2 linked regions of the Macaca mulatta genome follow. The protein of the gene in region 1 interacts with the protein of each later gene in a biochemical or structural test. Links are inferred from orthologs where the notes say so. Each region holds a gene or a part of one and is shown on either strand. Other genes may lie near its edges.

Region 1 (3,651 bases):
CATTGAAAATTCATGGTTTGGGAATACACAATCTTGCCACCCTATCTTCCGCACAAATTCAAGTCACTGGCAAAGAAACACAATTGTAACATGAAGCCAAATCTCTCTCACCATTTCATTAGGAACATTAAATCACCACAGGAATCTGTTGCCCCAATGATCTTTTCTGGTTCCAGTCCTCTCTCAAAGCCCCGAGCGATATCATTGCTCTGCTATAAATAGAAGACGAAGAAAGGTTACAGCTTGTGGAAAGAGTAAAGAAACTCCCTGTTTCTAGGCTCAACAAAACACAACCTAAGTTAATATCTCCTGATATCATTTCTGTCACCAATTCAGAAAAATTTTTAGAACTTAATACTAAGTACTGACAGTGACAATGAAGTGACAGTGATGCCAAGAGATATTTTTGTAAGATGTGATTATCGGCCAGGCACGGTAGCTCAAGCCTGTAATCCCAGCACTTTGGGAGGCCGAGACGGGCAGATCACGAGGTCAGGAGATCGAAACCATCCTGGCTAACACAGTGAAACTCCGTCTCTACTAAAAAATACAAAAAACTAGCCGGGCGAGATGGCGGACGCCTGTAGTCCCAGCTACTCGGGAGGCTGAGGCAGGAGAATGGTGTGAACCCGGGAGGTGGAGCTTGCAGTGAGCTGAGATCCGGTCACTGCACTCCAGCCTGGGCGACATAGCAAGACTCCGTCTCAAAAAAAAAAAAGATGTGATTATCTTTCCTGGAATTCCTCCAGAAGATTGGAGGTGAACCCTAAAAGTCTCTAATGTCCTATAAGATATTCTGGAGTCAGCCAGGCATGGTGGCTCACGCTTGTAATCCCAGCACTTTGGGAGGCCGAGGCGGGCGGATCACAAGCTCAGGAGTTCAAAACCAGCCTGGCCAACACGGTGAAACCCCATCTCTACTAAAAATACAAAAACATAGCCAGGCGTGGTGGCAGGTGCCTGTAACCCCAATTACTCGAGAGACTAAGGCAGGAGAATTGCTTGAACCTGGGATGCGGAGATTGCAGTGAGCAGAGATCGCACCACAGAATTTCAGCCTAGGCAACACAGCAAGACTCCGTCTCAAAAAAAAAAAAGATACTCTGGAGTCAACATCTAGGAATTCCTCTAATCCCACTCACTTGGAATCTCCTTAATATTGTAAATAAGCTTCTGAAATGTTAAAGAATACCCTGTTTACCCTAACTATATCTTTTCATCTTATGAACTTCAAATATACTACCTCTCTCTCAATCTTTATTTTTTTAGACTTTTAGTTTACCTTAACACTAACCAATAATTTTAACACATTTCACAGTCGCCTATATTTATGAAAGAATAGAGATAAGAATTATGCAAGGCCAATACTATTAAATAGCAAAATTTCAGAGATCACAAACACCAATACTTATATGCTTGGTTGGACAGAAGGCCCTGGGTCAATGCCTATCCCCTCTGGATGTAGATGATTGCTAGCATTAGAAGGCAGAACTGGACTGTGATTGAAAACAAAAACAAAAAAGAAAACAAAAACAAAAAACTGGCTTGGTGCAGTGACTCATGCCTGTAATCCCATCACTTTGGGAGGCTGAGACAGGAGGAGACTGGAAGTTGGAGACCAGCATAGGCAACTGTCTCTGTAAATTAGCTGGGCACAGTGGTGCACACCTGAAGTGTGCTACTCCAACTCAGGAGGCTGAGGCCCAGGGCCCAGGAGTTCGAGGCTGCAGTGAGCTATGATCATGCCACTGTGCTCCATGGTGGGCAACATAGTGAGAACCTGTCTCTTAAGACAGAAAGAAGAAAATTTGATAATTGATGAGATGAGTACTGAAACTTGGTCTAAATGCAGTAATACAATCTAGACAAGGAGCACAGGTTCTAATCCAGGTGTAATAATACTGATGAGAGCCAAAAAGCAAAATTTTATACAAGCCAGGTAATTTTTTTTTTTTTTTTGAGACAGTCTCCCTCTGTTGCCCAGGCTAAAGTGCAGTGGCGCAATCTCGGCTCACTGCAGCCTCCGCCTGCCAGGTTCAAGTGATTCTCCTGCCTCAGCTTCCCGAGTAGTTGGGATTACAGGTGCATGCCACTGCACCTGGCTAATTTTTCCATTTTTAGTAGAGATGGGGGTCTCACCTTGTTGGCCAGGCTGGTCTCAAACTCCTGGCCTCAGGTGATCCATCCCACCTCGGCCTCCCAAAAGTGCTGAGATTACAGGCGGGAGCCATCACACCCAGTTACGCCTGACTAATTTTTGTATTTTCAACATGGTTTCACCATGTTGACCACACTGGTCTCGAACTCCTGGCCTCAAGTGACCCACATGCCTCAGCCTCCCAAAGTGCTGGGATTACAGGTGTGAGCCACCACACCCGGCCTAAACTAGAGAATTTTTAAAAACTTTATTATGGAAGATAATGTTAGCCTCTCCAGTGACAACACAAAAAAAAGATTTAGAGGTGCCCAAATGAACTAAATATCTACTGCCTGATTTTCATAATAAAATCTCTTTGATCTTATGTTCACTTGCTTTCCTCTGAGACATACAAAGCATTTGGGGTCCGGGTGGTCCCCAAAGATACCAAAATCCACAATTGGAAGGAAATTCCATGCATGGATCAATGAGAGATACTGACTTTTAAAAACATAGCCTCTTTTAGGGGCGCTTACGGGGAAGAAGTTCCCAGATGTTCACACAGCTGCTCACAGCTGGAATGCTGGCACATGGACTAAGTTGTAAATCATAACTGGCAACTGAAAATAGTTTGCTACATAGGGAGGGAAGGGGAGGCAAATGGAAGAAAAATGTTCAAGTTGCTGAAAAGGAGCCGGGGCGAAGAAAATGCTAAAATCATCATACAGGCAGTAATCTTAAATCAGGCATAATGCAAACTAACAAATTTCTTCTCCAGGGGTCTTAAAAAAGATACACAATCCCCTCCTGTACCTTTAAAACATACAATCACCTATCATCTCAGCTGTCTACCTGACAGCAGCCAGTACTGCTAAGAATGCTATCAGGGGCCCCAGATGAACATTATGATGTAAGGGACATGTGGGGGTTGTTTTCAAGGTTGGCAGCTTCAGAACCTGGCCTAAGAACAAAAACTCTCTGCACTGGCCAGTGCTTCTAAGCCAGATTATTCAGACAGCTCCTTTTTAAAAATGACAGAGGCCAGGCGTGGTGGCTCACGCCTGTAATCACAGCACTTTGGGAGGCCGAGGCAGTTGGATCACCAGGTCAGGAGATTGAGACCATTCTGGCTAACATGGTGAAACCCTGTCTGTACTAAAAATACAAAAAATTAGCCAGGTGTGGTGGCATGTGCCTGTAGTCCCAGCTACTAGGAAGGCTGAAGCAGGAGAATCGCTTGAACCCAGGAGGCAGAGGTTGCAGTGAGATCGTGCCACTGCACTCCAGGCTGGGTGACAAAGCAAGACTCTGTCTTAAAAAAAAAAAAAAAATTCTAATTTTACTGGTCTGGGGTGCATCTTAGGCACTAGAAATTTTTTCAACGTACCCCCCAGGTGATTATAATGTGTAGACAGGGTTAGGAACTAATGTTCTAGAAAGGTATATATCTAATTACAATGAAGATAAATAGGGATGATTGTGGCTGCTACTCTGGAAGGCTGGAAGATTCCGAA
Region 2 (3,651 bases), on another chromosome or scaffold:
CAGTGCCTGGGCTTTTGAGTCTGCGCCTTGACCTTAGCCTGGATGAATCCCACCAGCACCCCGCTGTGTGCGTCCATGGTGCCTCCTTTCTCCCATTGCTGGAAGACCCCATCGGGTCTCTTCTTGATTTCAGACCCTGGCCGGCTCCTGTGGGAAGTTTGCCCCCTTTGAAATTAAAGAGCACATGGTCCTGGCCCCTCGGCGTCGGACCGCCTTCCATCCAGACCTCTGCAGTCAGCTAGACCAGCTCCTCCAGCAGCAGAGCGGCGAGTTCTCCTTCTTGAAAGACCTCAAAGGCCGGCGGCCCCTGAGGTCCGGACCCACCCAGGTTTCCACCCGGAATGCAGATATTTTTAACAGGTCAGAGCCTGAGGAGGTTGGCCTTCACCCACTAGTGACGCTGGAGGGCAGCATCCTGAACCCTGGGGTCCCCGAGGTGGGAACTTGGGGTCCTTCTGCTGCTTGCCTCCTAGTGCCCTCGGGCCCTGGACTTCGGTGCTGACTAAGGCCTCTCTCCACCTGGCCTTCCTGTGAGCCCCTGAAGTCTTCCTCTCCCTGTCTTCCTTGCTCTTCCCGGAGGAATCTTACTTCCCTGCTGGTCTCCAGTGAAGGATACCCCTCCCTTCCCCCCATCTTGCAAATTTCCTGTTTCCACAGAACCTCCCTTGGTAAAAATGCTCTGCAGCTGCACCTGGGCAGCCTTCTTCCCTCTCCCCTGCAGGCTGCACCCTCCTCCGTCTGTCCTTCCAGTCCATGTTCCTGACCTTTCTTTGGGGATAGGCAATGCTGCTTTTTAACAAATGCCCATCTTTCTAGAATTGTTAGGCCATCTTCACTGGGAGGTTCCCGAGAGGTTTGTGAGCACGTCTGTAAGGCAGCGCAATCCTGAGCCTGGGGTTTTCCTTCTCAGTGACGTCGTGATAGTGGAGCGTGGGAAGGGCGATGGCGTTCCCGAGAGGAGGAAGTTTGGCAGGATGAAGCTCCTGCAGTTCTGTGAGAACCACCGGCCGGCCTACTGGGGTACCTGGAACAAGAAGACGGTGCTCATCCGCGCACGAGACCCCTGGGCCCAGGACACGGTGAGCCGGCCCCGGAGTGCCTCTGTCCCTGCATCTCCTCACTGTGCCCCTTTCCTCCAGCCCCGAAGGCAGCTGTGAGTCCCGTGTGTTTCTTTTCTCAGAAGCTCCTCGACTATGAGGTGGACAGTGATGAGGAGTGGGAAGAAGAGGAGCCCGGGGAGTCCCTGTCCCACAGTGAGGGGGTAAGGATGTGCCCTAGCTGTGTTCACTGACAGATGGCTTGTATTTGAGTCCCTGTCCCACAGTGAGGGGCTAAGGACGCAGCCCAGCTGTGTTCACTCACTGACAGCTGGTGTTTGACCTGCTGTGCGGCCTGAAACCCGAACGTACCTCCTCTCCCAAAATCTCATCTGGTGACACTCGCCCACATGGCTGCTGGGGGTGGGAGCCCATCCGCATCTGCACCATGGCCCCACAGCCCCCTCTCGCCTCCTGCCGGCCTGCCACGCACCATTTCCACCTGACTGCCCAGCTGCTGTGACCTAGTGGGCTTTCTGCCGACGCTCACAGTGTCTGTCAGGAGGCCATGCCGAGCAGATGTTCACAGCTTTACATTTTTTTGTTTCTTTAAGACAGAGTCTCACTCTATCGCCCAGGCTCGAGTACAGTGGCGTGATCTCAGCTCACTGCAACTTCTGCCTCCCAGGCTCAAGTGATTCTTCTGCCCCAGCCTCCAAGTAGCTGGGACTACAGGCGCCCGCCACTACGCCCAGCTAATTTCTTTTTTGTATTTTTAGTAGAGACGGGGTTTCACCATGTTAGGCAGGATGGTCTCCATCTCCTGACCTCGTGATCCACCCATCTCGACCTCCCAAAGTGCTGGGATTACGGGCGTGAGCCACCGTGCCCGGCCAAGATTTGTATTTTTAGTAGAGACGGGGTTTCACCATATTGGCAAGGCTGGTCTGGAACTCCTGACTTAAGATGATCCACCCACCTCAGCCTCCCAGAGTGCTGGGATTAGAGGTGTGAGCCACTGCGCCTGGCCTACTTTATGTTTTTAACAAGGCATATACTCTGCTTTTCTATCTGCTGAACTCTTTTTTTTTTTTCTCCTTTTGAGGATGATGACGACGACATGGGAGAGGATGAAGATGAGGACGATGGTTTCTTTGTGCCCCATGGGTACCTGTCTGAGGACGAAGGTGTGACAGAGGTGAGGGAGTGAAGAGGGAGTCACTGGCTCAGAAAAAGCTCATTTCCGGACTGGTGCTCAGTGGCCTGACCTGGCAGGGTGACGGGGGTCCCAGCCCAGCCATACGAGATTTGGACTGCCTTCTCAGCAAGCAAGCTCACTTGTGGGAATGGCTGGGCCTGAACTTGGTATTACCTGGAAGGGTGGCAGACAGAGGAGGAGCTTGCAAGTGAGGGGAGCCATAGGAGGAGACACCCTGGTGAGGGAGCGTGGCCGTGGTCTGGGTTAGAAGGCTGGAAACCACCCTAGCTGACATACAGTCAGCATGCAGCAAGACGTGTGCATCATAAGTTTGCATTTGATGACTTACAACAATCAAGTGAATGTGGGTAACCACCACCCAAAATAAAACATAGAACTTCCCTGTCTCTCCAGAAGACTCCCCACGTCTCTGCAGGTGAACCTGCCTGCCACCCCTTTCTGGATTCCGTAAGGTTGTGGAACTTTCTTTCTTTCTTTTTCTTTTTTTTGTTTTTGAGACGGACTCTCATTCTGTTACCCAGGCTAGAGTGCAATGGCCTGGTCTTGGCTCATTGCAACCTCCACCTCCCGGGTTCAAGCAATTCTACTGCCTCGGCCTCCCGAGTAACTGAGACTACAGGCATGCGCCACCACAACTGGCTAAGTTTTGTATTTTTAGTAGAGACAGGGTTTCACCATGTTGGCCAGGCTGGTCTTGAACTCCTGACCTCAGGTGAGCCACCGCACCCGGCAGGAACTTTCTTTCAAGCAAGTTGTTTTGGGGCTCTGAAGGCCTGTCATTTGGGAAATGGGATTTGGTGGGAGTATCTCAGGCCTGTTGTTTGGGAAGTGGGGATTTGGTGGGACTGTCTCATGGTTGTGTTGGAGGGCTATGCATTCCTTGTGCATATCTGACCACCAAGGCCTGAACTGTCTGTCAGAGAGTGGTCTCAGGCCCTACATGTGTCTGCCAGATGCCCGGGCCATGTGGGTAGGCACCCGACCCTGTTAAACAGCTCCACGATCACACATTCACCAGAAATTCAGAGGGGTGTTAAAAGAGGCCTCATGGGTGAGCTCAGAAATATCTTGTGACTCTCCCAAAGGAGACCAGGTGTGAATTACTCCATCTGGAAGAGGGGCAGCCAGCGCACGGTGTGCTCTGCCCTGGCCCTGACACTGTGAGTTTTGCGCCCCTGTCCTTTCCTCTGGCTCCCCAGCCAGCTGAGACTGGAACCTCAAAAGAGTGCCCGGGCATAGGGGAGCATGAACCCCAAATAAACTTCTGCTTTCTAACCCACAAGGAGTGTGCCGACCCTGAGAACCATAAGGTCCGCCAGAAACTGAAGGCCAAGGAGTGGGATGAGTTCCTGGCTAAGGGGAAGCGCTTTCGCGTCCTGCAGCCCGTCAAGATTG

Evidence for each region.
Region 2: the proteins of CBX5 (region 1) and CHAF1A form a complex in vitro, tested with the Homo sapiens proteins (2 studies listed by BioGRID). The link is inferred for Macaca mulatta from reciprocal best matches to the Homo sapiens genes CBX5 and CHAF1A.

Annotation. Positions count from the first base shown.
Region 1 is NC_133416.1:61,432,429-61,436,079, forward strand, and holds part of CBX5 (chromobox protein homolog 5), read right to left. Parts: intron 213-3,651; coding exon 112-212; intron 1-111. UniProt on the Homo sapiens protein: Component of heterochromatin that recognizes and binds histone H3 tails methylated at 'Lys-9' (H3K9me), leading to epigenetic repression. In contrast, it is excluded from chromatin when 'Tyr-41' of histone H3 is phosphorylated (H3Y41ph).
Region 2 is NC_133424.1:5,262,138-5,265,788, forward strand, and holds part of CHAF1A (chromatin assembly factor 1 subunit A), read left to right. Parts: intron 1-133; coding exon 134-360; intron 361-910; coding exon 911-1,079; intron 1,080-1,180; coding exon 1,181-1,261; intron 1,262-2,142; coding exon 2,143-2,235; intron 2,236-3,539; coding exon 3,540-3,651. UniProt on the Homo sapiens protein: Acts as a component of the histone chaperone complex chromatin assembly factor 1 (CAF-1), which assembles histone octamers onto DNA during replication and repair.